Linked DNA regions of Coturnix japonica. Each later gene encodes a partner of the first gene's protein in a complex. Links are inferred from orthologs where the notes say so. Each region holds a gene or a part of one and is shown in the gene's direction. Other genes may lie near its edges.

The links.
Region 2: the proteins of GDF5 (region 1) and RGMB are in contact, whole or in part, in a crystal structure (PDB 6Z3J), measured with the Homo sapiens proteins. The link is inferred for Coturnix japonica from reciprocal best matches to the Homo sapiens genes GDF5 and RGMB. Residues at the interface, in NP_000548.2 of Homo sapiens: Leu396, Arg399, Phe435, Pro436, Leu437, Arg438, Ser439, Asn445, Val448, Ile449, Leu452, Ser455, Met456; in NP_001353437.1 of Homo sapiens: Gln57, Thr60, Phe63, Val64, Thr67, Ser68, Leu70, Asn71, Tyr88, Leu103, Val104, Ser107, Ala108, Leu110, Gly111, Ile112, Asp114, Leu115, Gln118.
Region 3: the proteins of GDF5 (region 1) and TWSG1 are in contact, whole or in part, in a crystal structure (PDB 8BWL), measured with the Homo sapiens proteins. The link is inferred for Coturnix japonica from reciprocal best matches to the Homo sapiens genes GDF5 and TWSG1. Residues at the interface, in NP_000548.2 of Homo sapiens: Glu434, Phe435, Pro436, Ser439, His440, Glu442, Asn445, Val448, Ile449, Leu452, Ser455; in NP_065699.1 of Homo sapiens: Cys26, Lys28, Cys31, Ala32, Ser33, Val35, Ser36, Leu39, Ile40, Cys44, Gln45, Cys46, Arg47, Cys73, Val74.
Region 4: the proteins of GDF5 (region 1) and BMPR1A are in contact, whole or in part, in a crystal structure (PDB 3QB4), measured with the Homo sapiens proteins. The link is inferred for Coturnix japonica from reciprocal best matches to the Homo sapiens genes GDF5 and BMPR1A. Residues at the interface, in NP_000548.2 of Homo sapiens: Arg399, Phe435, Pro436, Leu437, Ser439, His440, Glu442, Pro443, Asn445, Val448, Ile449, Leu452, Ser455, Met456, Pro458; in NP_001393490.1 of Homo sapiens: Gly65, His66, Cys67, Pro68, Ile77, Thr78, Phe83, Ile85, Glu87, Cys100, Met101, Lys102, Glu104, Gly105, Phe108, Gln109, Asp112, Ser113, Lys115, Ala116, Gln117, Arg120, Ile122.

What each region holds. Positions count from the first base shown.
Region 1 is NC_029535.1:1,102,161-1,107,956, forward strand, and holds the start of GDF5 (growth/differentiation factor 5), read left to right. Parts: upstream 1-2,042; 5' UTR 2,043-3,376; coding exon 3,377-4,010; intron 4,011-5,538; coding exon 5,539-5,796. Other genes in the region: centrosome-associated protein CEP250, read right to left, coding at 332-433. UniProt on the Homo sapiens protein: Growth factor involved in bone and cartilage formation. During cartilage development regulates differentiation of chondrogenic tissue through two pathways.
Region 2 is NC_029547.1:45,528,793-45,533,218, reverse strand, and holds part of RGMB (RGM domain family member B), read left to right. Parts: intron 1-1,451; coding exon 1,452-2,120; 3' UTR 2,121-4,426. UniProt on the Homo sapiens protein: Member of the repulsive guidance molecule (RGM) family that contributes to the patterning of the developing nervous system. Acts as a bone morphogenetic protein (BMP) coreceptor that potentiates BMP signaling. Promotes neuronal adhesion.
Region 3 is NC_029517.1:88,835,354-88,841,049, reverse strand, and holds the start of TWSG1 (twisted gastrulation protein homolog 1), read left to right. Parts: upstream 1-2,302; 5' UTR 2,303-2,317; coding exon 2,318-2,363; intron 2,364-2,606; coding exon 2,607-2,767; intron 2,768-5,696. UniProt on the Homo sapiens protein: May be involved in dorsoventral axis formation. Seems to antagonize BMP signaling by forming ternary complexes with CHRD and BMPs, thereby preventing BMPs from binding to their receptors.
Region 4 is NC_029521.1:1,762,975-1,768,529, forward strand, and holds the start of BMPR1A (bone morphogenetic protein receptor type-1A), read left to right. Parts: upstream 1-2,127; 5' UTR 2,128-2,234; intron 2,235-2,677; exon of another isoform or gene 2,678-2,939; intron 2,940-5,555. UniProt on the Homo sapiens protein: On ligand binding, forms a receptor complex consisting of two type II and two type I transmembrane serine/threonine kinases.

The sequences.
Region 1 (5,796 bases):
CAAACCACGCAGCCGGTAACTCAGCCACACTCCGGTCTCTGAGCGCCCGAGCAGCTCCTCATTTACAGAAAGGCCGCACCGCCTCCTGCGCTCCAACGGCACAACTGCTGCCGCTTCGTCCCCGAACCGAACCTTCCAAAGGGCAGAAAGTTCCGCAGCCCCCATGACCGCCGTTATTTCCCCTCGATTCACTCAGGCCCCGCGCTGCCCGCACAGCTCCCCCCTTCCGGCCGCGCCCAGACGGGACGGGCCTGGTCGGGCGGCTCCCGAGGCCTGTGCTCCGTGCTCCGGGCACCGCGTTGTGCCGCGCCTTGTCCCGCCCTCCCCTCACCTTCTCCTGTAGCTCCCGCACCGACACCGCCGGCTCCTGCCGCGCCTGCCCCGCTCCGTGCCGCCGCCAGGCCTGGCCCCGCGCCGCCTCCCTGGCCGCCATGCCCCGCTCTCGGCCCCGCCCCGCCCGCTGAGCCCCGCGGCGATAGGACGGCGGGTGTGCGGCGGGAAGCGCGCCGTGCCCGACACAGGGGCTGCCACCGGGTACAGCGCTGTGTGTGCTGAGACTGAGTCGTGTACGGTGGAAGCTGAATGTGAGGGAGGTGAATTCAGCTATGGCGGATTAAACATCAGATGGGCAGATCCACAGGAGCGCAGAGGTCTGACAGCGCTCACATCGCAGCACCGTGTTGGTGACAGGCGGGAGCCCCAGGGGCCAAGCTCCAGGAATAGCAGTTTGGCCAGAAGAATCTGGTTGAAATCACACAGGGGACAGGAATAACGGGTGGTGCCTCCTGAGAGCTGAAGGAGACCTGGGGCTTTGCTCAGAGCAGCTCACAGTAGCTCTGTCCCCATTGGCCCACCAGGGAAGTTCCCGCAGAGCTGCTCAGCATCTCCAGCTTCACACTCCTCCTGCTCCCATGTCCTGGTTGTGAGACTGATTCACCCCAGTTTGGTTCATTCTTTTACTTGTGACTGGCAGTATCAGTTGGTGTTCAATAAAAATGGAAAGTTACATTCATCTCAGATGTGTAAATACTGGGTGAGCATTTGACCAATTGTGCTGTTAGTCTGATTTACCATGAGACAAGGCCTATGGAGTCACACTGTCTCACCTTCTGCCCTTTCCTGTCCATCTGCCCAATCGTTTCTGTATCTGTGAATCTCAACCATGTTTGATGGAACAGGAGAGATCTTAAAGATACAGAACTCTTACCGGTGTTGTGAAAACTGGAGTACCCCAAAAGTGACGCCTCCTAGATAGGTTTCCATGCAAACCACAACAGATACAACACATACAGTAACACTGACAGAGCCAAACAGAGTGTTTGGGTGCTGGCTTTTCTACATGGAGGAATGTGATTCCATCCCTTTGCTCCATGTGCGACTCCATGTCAGATGCCATCCTATCAGGCTCTCCCTCTGCTGCCATCTGCCATATAACAGCAGAAAGGAACAGCGTGTGGGTGGGAAGGTTCAGTTTCTACTGCCATTCCTCCAACACCTGCCTCTGTCATCATGGGCCAACAGCATACAGTAGGAGGCATCACTTTCAGAGCATCCCTCATAGAATAAGAGCATGAACTCAGCACTTGGCTGTTTCTGTGGGCAGAACCAACACAGCACACCTGTCTGCCTGCAGGAAGGTGGATAATGAGGGTGGGAGGAAGGGACAGCATGGCTGAGGGTTATGGGGACAGCACGAAGGAACTGTTGGGGAAGGGGCCTGTTGGAAGTAACTCGTGGAAAAGCTGCTTTGTTTTGATGGGAAACATCAAACTGACTGCAGAGAAATGGCAATTAGGCCAAAATTGAGAGGGTGGGGTTTTTGTTCTCCCTCATTTGTGACATCTGTGCGGTCACTAAGCTGTTCTGCCCTTTGGTTCCTCCACTGGAATATGGTAAAGCATTCTAAGCGTGTCATATGGAAAGGGCTGCAGGTTGTTATTTATGAAAGTAATTTCATGTCAGAGTGGAAAATGCCGCAGCACGTCCAATTCAAGCTAAAATCGAGGCTGTTGTATCTATCCCCTTTATTCTTGCTTCAGGAATAAGTGACTGGGAGGGGAGGGCTGGGCTCAGCACAGCGCTGGATGAGAGAAGGGTCCCATTAATCCCCGTTCACTCCAGCCCAGTGCCTCATTTCCCCAAGGTTCATTCAGAACAACAACAGCTCATTTTTTTGTACTGCATGAAAGACACTCTCGCTCCGTGCTCCCCGGAGTACAGCTGACAGCAGCAGATACCCTTCCCACGTCAGCAGCTCCGGTTCCCTCCTCCCATCCTTCCCCTGTCTGTGGGCAGGGAGCTCTCCTACATTCGGGTTCACAAAAGCTCCGTCCCGGCTGCGCCCCGGCTCAGAGCAGCCCGAGCCGTGCTGCTGGCAGGAGCGGGGCCGCCTGCAGGGAGCAGTGCCTGCACAGCCTTCTCCTGCAGCTGGGTTACGCGGGTTTGTTCAAAGCGTAGCAATAAAAACACCAACATGCGATGACTGCGGGCACGGCGGTGCTGCGTTATACCAAATTCATCGCCTGCCTCGTTAGCTGAGTCGCTGGAGGGCAAAGCGAAGCCGCAGCTCCAGCAATAAGGAGCAGGACGGGGTTACGCACCGAGGCTTTCATGTGCGCGTTCCCGTGGGCCGCAGGACGGGTCCCGGCTGTCCGTCTCGCAGTTTGTCCCATTTAAACGTGAAGTTGATGGAAGGCGAAAGGAGAGGTTGTGCCGCCGCTCCAAAACGCGTCCTCTGGAGCCCTGAGCCCGCGGAGCTGTTTCACATGAGGCAGGGAATGAGTCATGCTCATGAAAAGGGCAAAGAAGATTTTTTTTTAAAGAAATATATCGCAGTTAAATTAGTTTAGACAGCATGACATCAGAGAGTAATTAAATCGGTTTGTTGGAATTCCGTTTCCAATTCCTGAGCTCAGGTTTGTAAAAGATTTCTGAGCACCTGCAGGTCTCTGTGTGTGAAATATTTTCACTGGAAAGGATTCAAAACGTTAAAAAAAAAAAAAACAGCCCTTTTAACACAGAGGCAGCATTACGCCATTCTTCCTTCTCGGAAAAAAAACCCCTCCGATTTAAACAGGACTCCTTCAACTTTTCAGTCAGTTTTACAGAAGAAAACGAGGTGGTAAACTTTCTCTTTTCAAGAACGAGCCCTTTACAGCCACGAACTGAAGTCAGGGGAGAGCGCGTCTGAGAGCAGGAGCATTTCCACTATGGGACTGGATACGAGCACTGAACAACCAGATTTGCAATGTTTTAATCTCGATCGAAAACCACTTTTGCTGACTTTGGTTTTTAATTTCTTTCATGTTTTCTTCTGCCAAACTGGAGGAACCTTCCCTGATTTTTTCTTTAGCGGCATTCAGAGGAAGACCAGAGGATGAAAATCCTGCATTTTCTCACTTTACTGCTTTGGCATTTGACTTGGCTGTCTCTGGATCTAGTTCCTGGAGCACTGAGCAATTCTGAAGCAGGCCAGAGTAATCCGGGGTCTAAAACAGATTTGTTAAAAGCAGAAGGAAAGGAGAGGACTCCCTCAGCACGGGCAGGCACGCCACGGGCTGCGAACCATGGATTTAGCACCGGGACCTCGAAGGCAAGGACTAAAAGCAATGCTGCTCAGCCTGGAGCTCTGCTGGCCAAGAACGACGAATCACAGAGGGTTCTTTCAAGAGCAGCTGCCTCAGAGGCAAAGGTAGGACATCTCCCGAGCAGACCTTCTGGAGTAAGGACGGTGACTCCAAAGGTCCCAAATCTTAGCAGCAAGACGGCTTTGAAAAAACCCAGCACGAGCAGTGCTGATAGCAGCGCTTTCAAAACGAAAAAGACTAAAGAGCCTGTCACCCAAAGGGAAGCTAAGGAAGCTTTCAGACAGCCCCCTATAACGCCACATGAATACATGCTCTCTTTGTACAGGACTCTCTCAGACGCAGAAAGAAAAGGTGTTAATGGAAGTGTAAAACTGGAGGCTGGACTTGCCAATACAATAACCAGCTTTATAGACAAAGGACAAGGTAAGAGGGGAGCTCACGTGTGTGTGGACAGAGGGACATCTGAGCACGAGCATTACTAGAACATAACTGTATGTTGTTAAAGGCAGAAAGCTCTTTCTAATGAGAATGAAATTGTAGGTTTTGTCCTTATCTTGGCAGATTCCTCTAGAGGCAGAAATAGATGGTAGCATGGCAGCCAAGCAAAACATTAGAATATTTCAGGTGCATATTTCTGAAAATCCATTAGTCCTTGAGGGTTTAGTTGTTCAGAAACTTTCACGTTTTGATCTTATGCTATTTCAGTAGGAAGATCCTGGATACTGTTGCTTGATTTTATTGCTAAGTGTGTCTGAAAACACATTCTCTGCTGAGAAAGGGGCTGTTCTGCGGAAAAACACACGTTTCAGTGTTGGAGGTCACCCCAGTTTGTCCAAGGATGAGCTGGGAGGAACTACAATGTAGACCCAGGAGTCATTATAGAGTGGCGCTGGTGTACCTGTATGAGCTTGAATCTCATGCTTTCAGACACTACCAGCCTTCTAACCACAGAAGCTCACAGCTAAACATGGGCTAATGAGTGTAAATAACTTCTGGGACTCCCTAATTTGCGGTTCAGTGTTATGGTTCCAAATTTATTGGAAATTTGGCCTAGTGTCTGCTCTCACACAACACATAACCAAAGAAAGATGTTCACCTTGCCGTCCCAGTGGGAGGCTTATCTCCATGTTGCTTCTGGTGACGTTAATGAGAGCTTTGGTCATGGAATTAAGGAAGCAACACAGGCCACAGCTAATTACATAATAGTGATTGAAGACTCAGCCAGGACTGGGTTTGTTTGCTGTTTAATCAAGAATAGTTTGGCTTTCGGGATGGGATGGCACGCAGCTGAGCAGTGCTGTGTTCAGATCCTTGACTGACCACTGGAAGGCGCTGTTATTGAAACATGGATAAAATGTTGGTTTGGGCATATTCCTCATTAGTGCCGCTCGCAGGTTTAACCAGGCAAAGACAGAGTCAGGTTAAAGGGAGGTCTGTTGTTCTGCCCAGTATGGAAAAGTTGTGAACTCTGCGGAGCAGAGTTAATGAGGCAATTATCTTTGTGTTCCTGGGGGATGCTGGTTTTAAAGGACTAATGACTATTGTATTGTCTAAGGGTAATGTTGGAGCCAGCATGAGGCCTGGGCACCACTGAATACCCATTTCAGTAACGTAAGTGGTATGTAAGTGGTGAATAGGCCCTGTGAGCCCTCAGACCTTATAAATGACGGTTTTCCAATTGGCTAAGGGCTACTTTGAAGCTAGAAAATGCCCACTGGTGAAAGAACTGACATTTCTAAAGGGCAAGCTCAGGAACTCCTTTCCCAATGAGTCACTGAATTCTTCCAGGTCCCCGCTCAGAGCCCATCCCTCAGACAAAAATTGTCCTTTCTGTTTAGTGGGCTAACTGAGGTAAATGCTGGTCTTACGGGGAAACTGCAGGAACATTGTAGAGAACTGACAAAGCAGCATTGCTCTGTGCTTCATTTAAAAATGCGTGTGCTTTTTTTAGATGAGCGAGCGCCAACCATAAGGAAACAAAAATACATTTTTGACATCAGTGCATTAGAAAAAGACGGCCTGCTGGGAGCAGAGCTTCGGATACTGAGGAAAAAGCCTTCTGATGCTTGGAAGTCTCATTCTTCTGGAAAGACTTCCCAAGTGAAATTGTTTAGTTGCTCTACCAACAGACAAGCAGCGACGCTCCTGGACTCTCGTATTGTCAGCATCACAGATACACCAAAATGGGAAGTGTTTGACATCTGGAAGC
Region 2 (4,426 bases), on another chromosome or scaffold:
TGAGGCCATAGGTTATGTGCAGAAATACTAATCACTCGACAGATCTCAGCTGTAACTCCTTAAGGGCGGTGAATTTCTTCAAGAAATGCAAAGTCGTGAGGTAGTCTTTACAGCAAGAGGAGCTCTTGGGCATTTTTTGGACCTTGGTTGCAGGCATTCAAGCTTAGCTTTGCTGTGGCATGCTTATTAGTTTACCATATGGCTTGAGTCAAACTAGCTGTATAAGTGAAAAACTGATGGAAAGTTTCAGACTGCACCAGTGAATACATATTGAGTCAAAACAGTGATTGCTGCCTGTGTGGGTGGGAGATGGACAGAAAGATTGGGAGTGTCTACTCACAGGGACATGTCAAATGTAAAGAGAGTGCAGCTCAGGGGATGCTGCATGCTCCAAGAAGTAATTACAATAGGAGGAGGGCAGACTTCTGTCTTTTACAACTGTTATGGAGGGGTAAGGCTAAGGAGGTTAGAGGTTTAGTCAAGCTATCTGTAATAGAGCTGTTTATGGCAGGAAACAAAACCTGTTGTATAGAAGTAAGCAGGCCAAGTGAAATCAAAACATGAGCTTGTTATAAAGTAGTTTTTAAGAAAAGTTACACTTTTCTACTACTTTTTACTAGTTTGCAAATATCTTCTAGTATATCTTGGAGTACTCTCAGTCTTGTCCGGGATGAAAGTAATCAAAGTATCTCTTAGTTTTGCTTTGGTCCTCCACCAGCATGTTCCCTAACAGCAGCAGACTGAAGTGTCACATCCACATGCTCCTGGATCCAGGACTCGTTCTTTTCCCAAGTCATGTATCTCCCCTCAGCGCTTGTTGTATTGGTGGCTGGCACAAACACATCACTGCCTTCATGGCAGTCTTACACCACTAATCCTGGCAGTGCAGCCAGGAAGCAATGAGGACTCTGTTTGGGGTCATGCAGTCACTGTGAAAGAGGCAATGAGAATATTGTGTGTGAAGGAAGCCTAGTCCTTGTGGTCGTTTCTGTGCTTTCACACAGTTCAGTCCAGTTCTGCTGTAGTGGCTAGCAGTGCGGGAATTACTTGGCATGCTCATCTGTGACTGCAGGATGCATTCCAAAGTGTTAAGAAACCATCAGGCAGGAGGCAGTTGTGATGCTTAATTAAATACACAGCTTTTTCCTTTCCTGACCTTGTTGCAGTTGCCACATGCTAATAGTCCTGCTTCCAGGCCAAGTTAAGAACAAATTTAACAATTGCCACCTGGGAAAATATTGCTTTAAGCATGTGAACAGGCTGTTTTCTGCTTGGGTATGAATGAGGAAAAAGATCAGGGTATGAACTAGAGGGTAGTCAGTACCAAATAATCTTGGGTGCAAAATGAAAAAGGGATTCCAATTACTCCTTTTTTTTTTTTTTTTTCTTTTTTCTTTTTTTTTACCCCTATAATCACTAACTTTTCTTTATTCTTTTTCTCTCTTTTCCAGATAACTATTATCTTTAAATCATACCAACACTGCACAGATCAGAAAGTATATCAAGCAGTGTCTGATGACTTGCCTGCAGCTTTTGTTGATGGTACAACAGGTGGAGGTGATGGGAACACCAAGAGCTTGCAGATTGTGGATAAAGTCAGCGGCAAATACGTCGAAATGCATGCCAGATACATCGGGACAACAGTGTATATACGTCAGCTCGGGCACTACTTAACACTGGCCATTCGCATGCCTCAAGAATTGGCCATGGCCTATGAGGAGAGTCAAGATCTGCAGCTGTGTGTGAACGGCTGCCCTTCAAGTGAGCGCATTGATGACAGTGGCCACTTGCCATTGCCTGTGAGAGGACAGGTTCTCCCTCAGGCAGGCGCTGCTCGTCCGTGGTCAGCATACACACTGGAAACTGCCACCGCCAAATGCCATGAGAAGATGCTGGTGAAGGACATCTATTTTTACTCATGTGTGTTTGACCTCCTCACCACTGGCGATGCTAACTTCACGGCTGCCGCTCACAGTGCCTTGCAGGATGTGGAGGCACTGCACCCCAGAAAAGAGCGCTGGCATATCTTTCCCAGCAGTGGAGATGGTGGTGTTGGCAAAGGTAGCAAATCCTTTGTCAGTGTTGGACTTGCGTGCTTGATCCTTGTTGCATTTTTTTAGGGTTTTTGTTTTGTTTTTGTCTCTAACAAAGTTTTGAAATATATATTGTCATAATATATTGAGTAAAGATGAGTATATATGTATATACCATGTATATGAAGGGATGTTTTGTCTTGGGACGTCCACCAGATTGTACATATTGTGTTAACTGTTCTATGTATGTTGGATGTCGTATTCTTTGTATCTGTTTGTTTTACAGTCAGTGAAATGTTTTATAATGTCCTTGCATTGGGACCTGATAGAAAGCACTTTATTTTTTATATATTAAATATTTGTGTGTAGCTGAGTAACTGTGTATTATACATATAAACATGTACCTACAGTACTCTGCCTAGGTACTGCTTAGTTAAACAAATTTTTTTACTGTATTAATTAATGGGGATATTTTCTACGCTTACTGTAGAGACAGCACTTCTCTTGTCCTGTAATTATGTATGTAATTTCCTGGTAGCTTTTTAGAGCCGTGGGAGAGACTATGCTGAAAGATTCTAATGGTCTTTGTGTTAGGGTGTAAGATTTCCTTTTCAAAGTTACTACCACAGCTGATTCTGCTCTGAAAGGTTAACTCATTATGGGAGATGGTCATGGAGAAGTCACATGCCTGAATTCTGTCTCCTTTCGTAGGTGTTAATTACATCAACACGTTAAAATAAGGGAGAGGAGTGAGGGCCCCAGTTCTGACTGCGGTTACTGAGGAGCTATAGGAACAATGATTCTGTGGCTTAAAGGCTGGTATTATGTGATGCCTCAGTCTGCTCCAAGAAACGGAAGCCTTATTGTGTGCTGCAGTACTCCAACTCCAGGACAGGCTTGTTTCACTCCTGAAGCTGTTCATCTGAGGCTAGTTAAACTTGCTCTTTGAACAAGATCAATTAGTGTTTGCCTTTCTTAAAGAACTTGTACTGTTGTTTGCCTTAGTGGATTGAGATGTAGTTTATTCAAGGAACAAGAACTTGGAGTTTTTATGAAGTTTGTTCTGTCCGGGTTAGAGACTGTTTGCTCATAGGAGCAGCAGTAATCTTCAGAAGGAAACTTACCAATTCCGTATTGGATGTGTAACCACAGGCAGGTGTTGTTCTCAAGGAAATTCTTGAGATGAACATAGAACTGAGTTAAGGCAGAAGGTTTAAATAAAAAATTCTTCTGATCTAGACTGACCGGCAGCTTGTTCTGTCAGTCAAACTAGATGATGGTGCTGTTTGAGGTGACTTAGATTTAGGGATTTGTGCTGTGTCTGATTATGTGATTTTTCCCAAGTTTCTCCTGATGGTGACAGGGTTCTCCCTGTTCTGTGTGGCAGAGCATCCTTATCTCTGCTCTGAATTTAAAGGGCGCGTGGCTGAAAATTGATGGACAAGCCTGGCATTGCTGCAGTGATGCACAAAATACTTGGGCAGACTCTGCATTCCGTTTAATTTCCACTGCCCCTGGATCCAGCGTGTATATACATATACAACAGATATGTATACGTGCATTAAATTGTGATCCTTTCAGATAAATAACATTTCAGAAATGTAGTACTTCCCCTGAAGAGTTTTCCGTTTTCTTGTTCCTGCTGTGGGATTTCTTGAGAAAATGTTATTTGCACATGTTCATTCTTGAAGTCTGCCATTGCCAAGAGAGCTTTAGCTAATGCCAAATGTGGATATTTTGAAGCTAGTGAATGGTCTCTGGAGAAAACTTAAGCTTAGAGGGAACAGTGGTTTTTTCACACACGCTCCAAATGGCTGTCTTTTAGAAGGCTGCAGATTTTATTTTCATGCTTGGAAACCCTAAAATGTGTCAGTCTTTTCAAAAACGTTTAGATGTGGTTCATGAATATACCAGTAAGTATATGTTAGTGTAAAAGAGTGGCTGTGCAGTGTGTAAATACTTTAAATTATTATGATAGAAGAATAAAGTTAACCTACCTTGGTGAGGAGCGTCTGTAGTGTGGTGTTAGTGACCCCTGGTGGGGTGCAGGGAAACTGGGGATATGAGTTATCCACAGGGTGAGCAGTCTGTAATTGAGGCCCCAATTTGTTTCCTAGCCATTGCTTGTTGTGTAGGAACGTGCTGAGGACCACTGCTGTATTATCTTGAGATGCTTGTTTCCCCTCTGCTAAAGATGCATAGTGAAGTCTGTGGCCAGCAGCTGCAAACCAGGCCAGTATATTGAGGATGCTGTGTGTGGGTAACCCAACAGTAGGAACTACCTTTTCAGAACCCCACTGGCACAATTCCTTTTGCAGTGACTGGGGGAGATGCTTAGAAGAACTTTAGCAGGTTACAGAGGCCCCGGTGCTGTGCCCACCCTGAAGAGTATA
Region 3 (5,696 bases), on another chromosome or scaffold:
CATGTTCCTGGCTGCAATTTGTTCATGTTGTAACATTTGGCGCTGTCAAGAAATCTCCCCACTCCAGTGATGGGAAATTAGTAGAGAGAATCAATTAAGAACTAAAAAAATGGAAAGCTTTTGTCCTAACATTTCTGTATCCCCCCCGGTGTTGTTAATGAGCTGTTAATTATTTATTGGCACAAGGTTATAGATATTCATGAAAAAGATTTGTTACAGCCTAGGCCATCCATTATTCAAGAGTGCTTGGGATCTGATGGCTGTGATATTACTTTGGAAAGAAATGGGGCTTATGCAAGAGGGGTGGCTGCCTGCAAAAGAGATTAAAGTACTTGCTTTGAACTGATTTTTAAACACCAGGTGAACTGCTGCTCCCTGTGCTTATGTGATCGCCCAGGACTCCTTCATTGTGATGCTGAGCTACTGTGTGAGCTACAGGCTGTGGACAACAGGCTCCTTCCAGCTGCACGTCACCGCGGGCTGCAATCGAGAATAAAGTGATAGTAACACGAGCACAGTAATACTGGAGTAAGCACAAATTCACAGGTAGCTCCTGTCCTGTAGCTGTTTTTTGCCCCCACTTTAAATTTGCTGGGTACTCGAGGAAGGGGGAAGCTCTTGCTTTTATGCAAGACCGCATTACTGGTGCTGCAGAACCAACCACAGAGTAAGGGAAATGCAGATAGAAGCATTGGGGTTGGCTGGAGTAAGACAGTTCACAGCACGACTAACAAAAGGATTACACAGCTTTTTGTTAATTAAAATTATTTTGACAGTATACCCTATGAGGAAGTCTGGATCTGGTTATTTGTCAGGCTTTACCCGTGTTTCCTCAACAAAGAGAGATAACTTCCCGTTAACAGTTTCACACAGGTTGTTTTCAGTTGATGCTGATTACTGAACGTCCCTCTGCTCCCACACTGTGTTCCCATACACTACACGCTCTCCTGCTCTCTGCAACCTGGATCCAAGCTGTGTCCCAGTTGTGCTTTTCCAGGTTTGTCCTGCAGTGTATTCCCATTACTTCCATCAAGCAATGCAGGTTGGGGTTGAGTGTGAGGGATGGGTGCCACATGGCATTGCTTCTCCCCCCTGGGAAGCCTGGTGCTGCTGAGTTCCTCCTGGGTTTTCTTTCAGAGATGAAACTCATCACTTTGGTCTTGTTGCACTTGGGTAGGTGCAGTCACAGCTATGTATACACACTGGGAGAAGAGCTCAGTGAAAGCAGCCCTGCAGGGAAGTATCTGGGGGTCCTGGGAGATGAAAAGCTGGATGTGAACCAGCACTGTTCCTGCAGTCCAGATGGCCAACAGTATCTTGGGCTGCATCAGAAGAGGGGTGGCCAGCAGGGACAGGGAGGGGATGTGGCCTTCCAGTACTTAAAGAGAGCTTATAAAAGGAAGAGGTCTGACTTTTCACACACTCCGATAGCAATAGCAGAAGGGAAGGTTTAGATTAGATTTCAGGAGGAAACTCTTCACTCAAAGGGCAGTGAGGTGCTGGCACAGCTGCCCACAGAAGCTGTGGTGCCCCATCCCCGGAGGTGCTCAAGGCCAGGTTGGATGGGGCCCTGGGCAGCTGAGCTGCTGGGGGGCAGCCCTGCCCATGGCACGGGGTGGCACTGGGTGGGCTGTGAGGTCCCTTCTAGGGTACCGCCAATCGAGGGCTCCTCCTGCATCTTCCTAGCACGAGGATACCGCTCAAGAGCCCTCACACCCCACCCTCCCGCCGTGGCCTCGCTCGTCCTCCCCTGAGCGGCGGTGGCGGATCGAGGGGCGGTCCCGGCGGCGGCCCGAGGCGGGGCCCTGCGCCGTGTGCGCGCTGCGAGCCCGCGCTACCGCCGCCTGCGCTGCCCGCGGCCGAGCTGAGGCGCGCGGTGGCCGGAGCCGTCCGCGGAGCAGCCGGAGCCGCCGGCGAAGCGGGGGCAGCCGCCGCCCGGCCGGTGAGGGGGGCGAGGGGCGGAGGCGCGATGCCGGAGGATGGAGCCCGGCGGGGAGGCGGCGGCTTTGTGAGGAGCGTCCCGCTGCCCGCCGGAGGAGGCCGGGAGGGGCGGCGCAGGGCCCCGCGGGTGCCCCGGAGCCGGGCGGCGCTGCCGGGGCGCTCCTGACAGCGGGGCCGGGGCCGGGCGGCCGCCGCGTGCTGCCCTGTGGGGCCAAGGGCTGCACCTGAGGCCGGGGGGCGCCGGCGGCGGCGGGGTGTGGGGCCGCGGCTCCGGGCGCTGCGCGGCGGCCGCCCCGTCCCGTCTGGCTTTCCCTCCTGTGAGAACAATGCGGGCTCGCCGCGAGCCGTGCAACAACGGGCGCTGCGTGCCGGGCTGATGGGGCACGAGAGAGCGGTGGACGGGGCTGCGCCGTGCCTTCCAGGTTAGGGCTTCGCTGCTGCGTTTTATTTGTCGCCGCTCATAAGCCGTCAGAGCTGATGTTACAAACCTGACCTCGTTCACCTGAAGCTCAGTGCAGTTCTAACGTAGTGCAGCAGCAGAAAGCTTCAGTCGGAGCGGTTTGCCGGTAGAGAAGCAGCGGGTGGGTTTGTTGTGGTGCCTCTTTAATGTTTGACTTCTTTTTGTTTCTCTTTTTGTTCTTTCTGGTGGTCAAAAATTGCCTCAGTGCTGGTCGAGCTCCGTCTGCAAACCGCTGGAACGATGAAGTCTCCGTGTGCGGCACTGCGCGCATCCCTGCTGCTGCTGCTGCTGCTGCTGTGGGCCCGCTCCTCACTGGGCTGCAACAAGGCACTGTGCGCCAGCGACGTCAGCAAGTGCCTCATCCAGGTATAGCGACAGCACTGCCTCTGCTTACCTTTAGTTTGGAAGCTGTTTGGAAGCCCACCCGGTCCTACCCCATGCTGTGGGGCAGGGCTGCCCCCCAGCAGCTCAGCTGCCCGGGGCCCCATCCAACCTGGCCTTGAGCAGCTCCTTGCATGGCACTCCCCGTGACAGAAGGTTGTAAAGCTGAAAATGGCTGGAAACCCTCTGAGAGGACAAACACTGGTGTAGCTCCAACATGCCTCACAACCCTGAAGTACCTCGGGCTACTAATGGGGGTGAGCAAGCTCCCAAAGTGTGTGAGTTCACTTAAAATGGGCTCTTGAGTTGCGCTTGTGGGCAGTGGATGTCCAGCTTGAGCCCAGCTGCTGCTTTTGGCTCACTGTGTGCTGTCCATAGGGCTGAAGGAATGGCTGAGCCCCAGCTGCTCTTCCAGCAGCGGTTGGGAGCAGAGTGAGAGGTTCTTTTAGAGGAGCTGTGAGCAGATCCACTGCCTACTGGCCAGGAATTGATGGGCAATGAACTGTGCACGCTTTCTGACACTGGAAGAAAAGGAGACTTCCTGTGGTCAGTTCCAGCTTCCTGCTGCCTCTATGCAGGTTGGAAATGGAAAAGCAGAGAGCGCAAATATCAAATGCCAGTAAATATCCTTCCGACTTCTGCACTGCCATTGCTTTAAATGGAAAAAATAATTGAAAACAGTGCTGCTTCTCAGCCATTGTCTACAGAGTTGTTAAATGAGGGAGACAGGCTTTTGACTTATGTACCCAGTGACTACGGCACTGTTTTTCAGTGATAGTGCTGTGTTTTGCTTAAGCATTGGTATCTCCTTAGCAGCACAGCCCTAGGGGTGTGCTCTCTTACTTTGTATCGGTGATGTGGGACCCATTCTTAAAGCATTTCTCCAAAATCAAGGACCGCACATTGCTCTTTGAGACACTACAGTGTTGGGGTTGTGTGTGGTCACAGGTCAATGAGCAACGGAGGCAGATAGGTCAGAAAGCAGGTGGGGAGACTCCTGGAGCTCTGACCAAGCTGTTGCTATCTCTCATCTCGGCTTTTTCATTCTTTATTCTTAAATCTTCAAGTGTTGTTGCAGCAGAAGCATTGCGCTGCTCTCTGAAGTATGTCATACTTCTTGGGTGGGTGTGTACTACGGTATATCTGAGTGTTCCTGTTTCCCTCTAAACCCTAAAAGTACTAAAAAGTACTTTGCTAACAGTGAGTTTGCTGGACTATCCCATCATGCAGTTCCCTATTCTGTTTCTATCATCTCTCTAGTTTGGCTCGCTACATGGCTTGAAGCCAAATCAGTGTGGCTCTGAGGTTACTGGGGTGCAGGCAAGACGTGGTGTTGGCCATCTGGATCTGTGGGAGCAGTGGGGCTCTCAAAAACCATATGGTTAACACAAATATTTGTGCCAGCCTCAGTACAGTCATTACTGCCACTCCTTAGGAGCTGCTCAGCTCAAGGGTGGTCCTTGCATAAATATTATTTCTTTAATCCAGGACAGAGCGTGAGACCAACAACTTGTACGCGTTCAGCTTTCCTCTTAGGTCTTGATGGCTGTAGCTTTTCTGGTGCCTTTGTGTTGGGATTTTATGTTGTTTTCCATGAGCAAATAGCTTGAGGAACCTCTCCCTTTTGGCTTCACCACTGCAGAAACTTGGTGTATTCTGCACTTTTGGAGGAGCTGTGGGTGAGACCCAGGAGCAGAGAGGGGCCACAAGCTCAGCTCCCTTCCTGGCTTTGGGCACAGCTCATCCTTGAGTCCCAGCGGCGCTGTTGTCCCACTCCTTGGGCAGGCTGCTGGCCTTAGTGGTGCCTGGCACCCCTCCTCCTCCAGCATTTCTTCTGCTTCGGGGTTCCCATGCACAGAGATGAGAACACTGAGTGGGCACACCGTGACTTACATCATTTATGCCACTGTCGGTGATGCCTGCTGCAGGTTTATCTTCCCCTCTTGTTAATGTTGGGCATGAGCTTCCCACCTTGCAAGTATTTCCAAGACATTCTTTTGCCCTGTGATATGAAATAGCTCTCACATTTTAACTTCGAGGCTTGCGTATCCAATTCTACCAAAGTGTGTTTTGTAGCTGTAGAACGTAACGCGGTCGGGTTAGCAAAATAATCCCGTCTGGTTTGCTTCCAGGAGATTTTCTGTTATTAAACTGTTCTAGGAAAAAAACACGAGCTATTTTCTTTCATTCCCTCCTCCAGTTTGCAGAGAGGTTGCCAATGCCTCCAGGTCCTGTTTCTCGCCACGCTGAGAAAACAGTCTCCGTCACTTCAAGAAAGTTTGGAAAAAAAAATGCAGATGTTAAATACCTTGTAAAAGGCTTTATTTGCTCTGTGGAGCAGAAATACCTTTATTGTACAAACATGCCTGCTTCCTGCTTTCATGCTGTATTTTTAGACGAGGGAGGCTCGCTTCTTGCCTAGCAGAATACTGGTGCACCTTCAGTAGTTCAGCCTGGGCAGCTGCCAGGCTCACTTATGAGTAATATTTTCTTCCACTGACGCCTCGCCACCCCCAGCCATCAACAGGGAGCGTTTCTCTTTCTGCTTCACTTCACCCACGTCCCATGGAAGCATTCTTTTAAGGAGATGTATCCTGTACAAGTGTCCGGTCCGGGTGAGTCAGTAGGAGGAACTTGAGTGTGGTTAAGGAAACAGTGGACATGCAAACGCATGGATGGAAAAACATACGATTACTGCCCTGCAGGGACAGCCCTGGGGAGGAGGGGTTGAAGAGCTGTGCATAAGACCAACCACTTGCTCTTTCTTCTCCTTTCTTCCTCCAAGTTTTTTCTTTTTTCTTTTTTTTTTAGGAAAATAGATGTTCCTAACCCTTATCTGTAAAAATAAACTTGTTAAAGTACCAGTAGGTATAGCGATGTGATCCCTAGGTAATCCTTGTGCATATAGACACTA
Region 4 (5,555 bases), on another chromosome or scaffold:
TTATTTTGTGATTAAGACTAGTAGTTACGCAGCCTGACGCTCCTTATTTATGCTACGAATGGGTATATTGGCAGGGTAAAGCAACCCAAATCTTCAGCCATACAATTTCTGATGTGACACGGACTATCGCCTTAGACACCTTCAGTGCCCGAGTGCTTTAAAAAGTACCAGCTGAGAGAGTAGTTTTTGTGAGATGTAGAATTACTTATGAGCAATCAGATGAAAACAGTTGATCTGTTTCATAAGCGGGCTCAAAAGCAATTTTCAAGGCTAGTGGCTTTGGCTGAATTCAGTCAATAATGGATTTAAATGGCTATCCGACATCTGAAAAAATGCAGGGCTGTATTACCACACAGATTATTACTGAAAGAGATGCTAGCTCCAACAGCTTTGGTTCTGCTTGGGAGCACACACATGCATGTTGCATTCTTCTTCCATATTGAGCGTCTATTCTGCTGCTATAATCTGATAATAGGCAGAGTGGAGGAACAGCAGACTCATATTTTCCTTTGAAATGATAAACATAAGCATACAAGTTCTGTATTGCTTGGCACGAGCGCTGTGATTTTGTCTTTCTTGGCTGTCTTTGTTTTGGACACTGACATTTTTTTTTCTGGCTCATCGGAAAAAATTTTCTACAAGTCTAGTAATGCAAGAATTGCATTTTTAATGCCTTTCTCTAGTATCTGGCCACCTACACTTACTAGGTGTGCCTTTAATTGCTTGTGTTTTAAAAGAGTCTGCAAAGCAGATAGGTTTGAATGTACTTCCTCTTTTGTTTTACTATACGGGATAGAATGCAAGCTAAGCAGTTGCCTAACAATCCACGTGTACAACACATGTGAACTATATTACAAAGCCAATGTGCTCATCTTACACACAAATGGGACAACATAAACTCTATATGACACTAGCAGACAAAAATGGAGCTGGACTGTGTAGAGGTCAGCACAACGAGCAAAGCAGGGTTTCCCACATCATACACACATGTGGCTAAGTGAGATTCCTTCCCAATTGGTTACTATCCAAAAACAGCTTATCTGGGCAGGCAAATGGCCTAAAGGGTGTCTTGGTCAATAGCAGAGGGAAAGCGAGCAGGTTAGTGTGGTCTTTGTTTCCCCCTATAGTTGGCCCCGTGTACAAAATTCTTGGCACAGAACTGTGTAATGGGACCATGTCAACATGAGAGTCTGTTGAGTGCAAGGTTCAGCCCATGCAAGCTGCTCATCCCATGGCACAGTGTTATGAAGCTCCTTCTGCACCACTGTTGGGAGACAGACAGACAAATTGGTACTTGGGTAATGTGTCCTAATGACGACGAGCTCAGAAATGCAATGCAAATCATAGCCTTCAGCAGCCTTATCAGCAAGCAGAGAAGCTCAGTGCAGAAGGTATGATGTATTCCAATCTAACCAGCCAGCTTCGTTTATTTAAAGAAACAGGAAATGGAAAAAAGCAAAACGAACAACTCCGTTCACCATAATGCCACTCTTATCTCTCCTACGGCACTGGGATGCCAAGCTTTCCAAGGATCAGCGTGAGCAGTGATCCACGGGCAGCTCCCATCGTTACCCTATGCCCCCCAAACAAAGGAGCTGCGATATCCCCACCTCCGCAGCGCACCCGGCCGCGCTGCCCCTCGCACCTCTCTGTCTCCTCCTACAGGAGCTGCCGCGCCTTTGCACCGGCAAAGCTCTGCTCGACGGCCCTTCGGCCGGCGGTGCACGGAGCCCCATGCGGCATCTCCACCCAGGAGAAGAGCTCCTGGGGAGGAAGAGCGGCCGGCTTTTTCTCGGTGTGCCCCGGCAGCCCTCCCGCCCAGCGCACGTGTCAATAGAAGCGGCAGCGCTCCTAGGAGCGGTCTCACGCCTCTCCCCGGCAGCCGATGGAGCTGCTGCTGCTTCGCGCTCGTCCCCATTCTCCCCCTCCTTCCTCCGTGCGCGCGGCCGGGCTCCACGGGTGCCGTGATTGGAATCCGGCTCCGTCCCGCCCCGCCCGCCCTCCAGCTCCGCAGGGACGCGCCGGGCGTCGGGAGCGCTGCCGGGGAGCGAGCCTGCGCCGCCCCGCCCCGCCCCGCCCCGCCCCGCCCTCCCCCTCCCGGCTCTCGGCCGCCTTCGCTCCCGTCTTACAGGAGCCGTCGGGGTTCCGGGCGCGGCCTGCGTAACGCAGCGGGAGCGGCTCCGTGTTGCTTCGCCTTCCGTCCCGCCGCAGAGGATGAGGAGCCTCCAGGAGCGGTGAGTGCGGGGTCGTGCCGGGCGGTGTGGAGCGCCGCGCCCCGCTCCTGCGTTCCACCCCTTCTCGGCCCGCGGGGCTCCGAGCACCGGGCCCTCGTCCCGCCCCCGGCCCGCTCTCCCCGTCGGCTGCGGGCTCGGCCCTTCTGCTCCGAGCTCTCCGGCCCGGCCGCTCTCCCCGCCGAGCGCCCTCCGCGGGTCGGGCCGATGCTCGGAGACCGTCGGCGGGCGAAGCGCGGCGGCTCCCGGGGCCGGCGGCTTCCTGCGTGGGCACGGGGCCGCCTGCGGGGCCGGGCAGGCCCGGCGCACGCCGCTCTGTCTGGCCGCCTTCGCCCTCCCCCTGCGTCTGCGCCCGCGGTGTTGTAATTCCAGGCGCGGTGCCGAGCCGGCGGCTGAGCGGGGCCTGCGAGCGGCTCCGGGAGGCCGCGGGGAGCGGGGGGACGGCACTAATGCCGAGCCGTGACCCGCCGCTGCTGGGCGGTGAGGAGCCGCCTGGGCATCCCGCGGCACCGTGAGCGTCCGCCGTCCGGTTCCGGTTAAACCTGGTGACGAGATGTCCCGAAGAGGCTGAAAAACTTGAATGGCCTTTCATCAGCCTTTCATCTTCTGTACGACTAAGAGTGAATTCGGCATCAAGGAGCGGTGGGAGGCTGTAGCGCGGTCGTGTGGCCTGTTGTGATGAAGGCCGTACAATGGGGACGCTTCCAGGTGCGGAGTGGTTGTGTTTGTGAGCTGTGTTTTGTTGTGTTTTGCGTTCCTTGAGGACGGGTAACGATTTGCTGGGTTCCATACCCTGTCAGCTGCTTGGTGCCTGCCCTCTGTGCGAGTGGAGCAGCTCCTTCTATGATGGCCTGGGCTCAAACTGTTCCTTGGTTCTCAGTAGAACCTTATGTTGGAGTAAGGAGCTGCATGAGACCGGTTGATATTCAGACCTGCTCTTCCAGCCTATAGTTAGTAAGACCCCCACGTTGTGGCATTGGTAGCAGCCTGAAAATATTACTTGAATACTTGTTGACAGTGTGTATCCTTTGTGTCTTTACTTTGGTTACTTTCGTATAGATCTTTCAACACTTGCGGTTTGTTGTGTTAGGGTCTGTGTGGTTTGTATTTCTGTATGGACACATGCATGCCCTGCAGGCTCTGAGTGTGGAGCTCTGTCAGAGATATTAATGCATAGTTGCAATCTTCAGTTGCCAGTTCTCTGTATATGCCTTTGGTCTCTCTGTTTGGAGACAGTGAATTCATGTGGGCTGACTGGAATCCTTCTCTTTAAAATGAGAAAGATATGGTTTGGAAGGGACCTCTGGATGTCACTGGGTCCAGCCCCTGCCCAAAGCAAGGGGGTTCAGCTAACTTCCTTTAGAAAGGACATGTGCTTCCCATAGATGAAAGTTACTGTGATCTGAGTTGTCACAAAGCATTGGGCTGCAAAGAAAAAAGCACGCTGAAGAAACAATAAATAGCTTTGTCTACTTCCTGGAGTCCTGAAAAGCAAGCAGTAGGTGGGTGGCTTAGGGTTGTATTTATTTTCTGCCTTGGTTTAAAGGTAGGAATGACAACAGGGTTGTATTTGTTCTCCAAGAAGCAAATGGGACATAATGTGACTACCAAATGATACTTGTGGATGGCAACTTCCGTAGTGAGGATGGTATCTCCTTGTAGTGCAGCTAAATGTCTGACACATGGAGCTTCTGAAGCTCTGCTAAGCATAGATGGGTAAACAGACAAGATGGCATGTTCTACAGATGCAAGTGTTCCTCCCTTGCTTTTGTCAGGCATCGGATCTTTCTGTCTGTGTGAGGTTTTTGGTTCCTCGTTTGAGGGGGGGGGGGGGGGGGGGGGGGGACAGAGAACGTCTTCAGTGCCTGGGTTTTGCTTCACATACCTTAATATTTTCTGTAAATAAATCACGTAAGTCACTTCAGAGCTGTTATATGTAGGTACTGATGGAGTGCTTAGACACGTTAATGTTCCTCAAATGTGTGTGGGGGTGGGGGGCAGTGTGTGTACTTGATTTTTGACGGCTGCCTTGCCTGTAGCAGCTGATGATTTAGTGCCTTTTCTTCCCTGAACGAGAGCTGCAAAAATCTTTTGCAGTTGCTCTACCAAACCCTCGCTGATTATTCCTAGTCATGGTGATGTCATGGAGTCTCTGTGCTTTCTGAAACATTCGGTGCTTTAAAGGGAAAGCAAGGAATTTCTGTCTCTCTTTCCTGTCGTCACTTAAAAGTCGCAGTGAAGTCTGTAGAGCAGTTGATTTTTCTCAGAAATAGTCATTTTATCTACCCCCCCCCCGAGTTATTCTTTTAACTCAGTATAGCTCTTGTGTGAGGGATTCGGTCCAAAAACACACCGAGTACTTTGTGCTCTAGGCGTATGTTTTGTGCTTCCCTCAACAAAACAAAGCAATTTTTCTCCTGCTCTTTAATATCAAGGATTTCATTTTCCTCTAGGGAGGGTGAATGTTAGGTTCCCTTTGTTTTCCTATGAGGCTGTGTCCTTGCTGAGAGAGTAAGCTGCAGCCTCTTGCTGGTCTGACCACTGTGTGAGATGGAGCACTCCAGAACTGCATGGGAATCGCAGCAGTGAGAGGACACTGAAGTTTACTGTAGTCAGTTGACAACTGGAGTATTTTGTATCAGTGTTTTTAGTGTAACATGAGGCTCGAGTTCTTCATTTGTGCTACATCAGAGATGAGATGCATGAGTTTCTGGTTGTGACGCTGTTGTCAACTCTACACAGATGCTGTAGGCAGTGCGATCATTCTCTTTCATATCTATAAAGCAGCAGCTCTAGTCTTTGCCATTTTCCTAGTGGATTTCTTATAGTCATCCTTCTGTTTCTTTTGAGTTCCATGCATTTCACTCTGCTGTACTGTTTCAGAATGAATTGGTAAGTATGATCAATATAGTTATTAAAGCAGTCAAGTGAATTCTAGCTCATGATTGTGCACAGGTTGTGTGAATTCAGACCTGCTTTGTGGAAGCTCCTTCCTTTTCACTGTTGCAGCTGTTGAAATCTCCTAAACTTGCTTTTCTTGCAGCCTCGTCTTAACAGTGTTAATTATTAACGACTTTTTCTCAAGTTGGGGGGCGGGGGGAGGAGCTGTTCATGTGCATTTACACTTCCTTTGTAAGAGCCTGATGCCAGACTATACTGGAAATCAGTGGGTAGAGTCCGAGTTCTGTGGCCCAAAATCATGCAAGACTTTGCTGCTACAAAGAATTAACATTCTGCTCACAAAAGATTTGATGCACATCTTAGTGCATTTCATGCTAAGAGAGAATTCCTTGGATATAGAATCAGTGATAAGGATGATGGAGG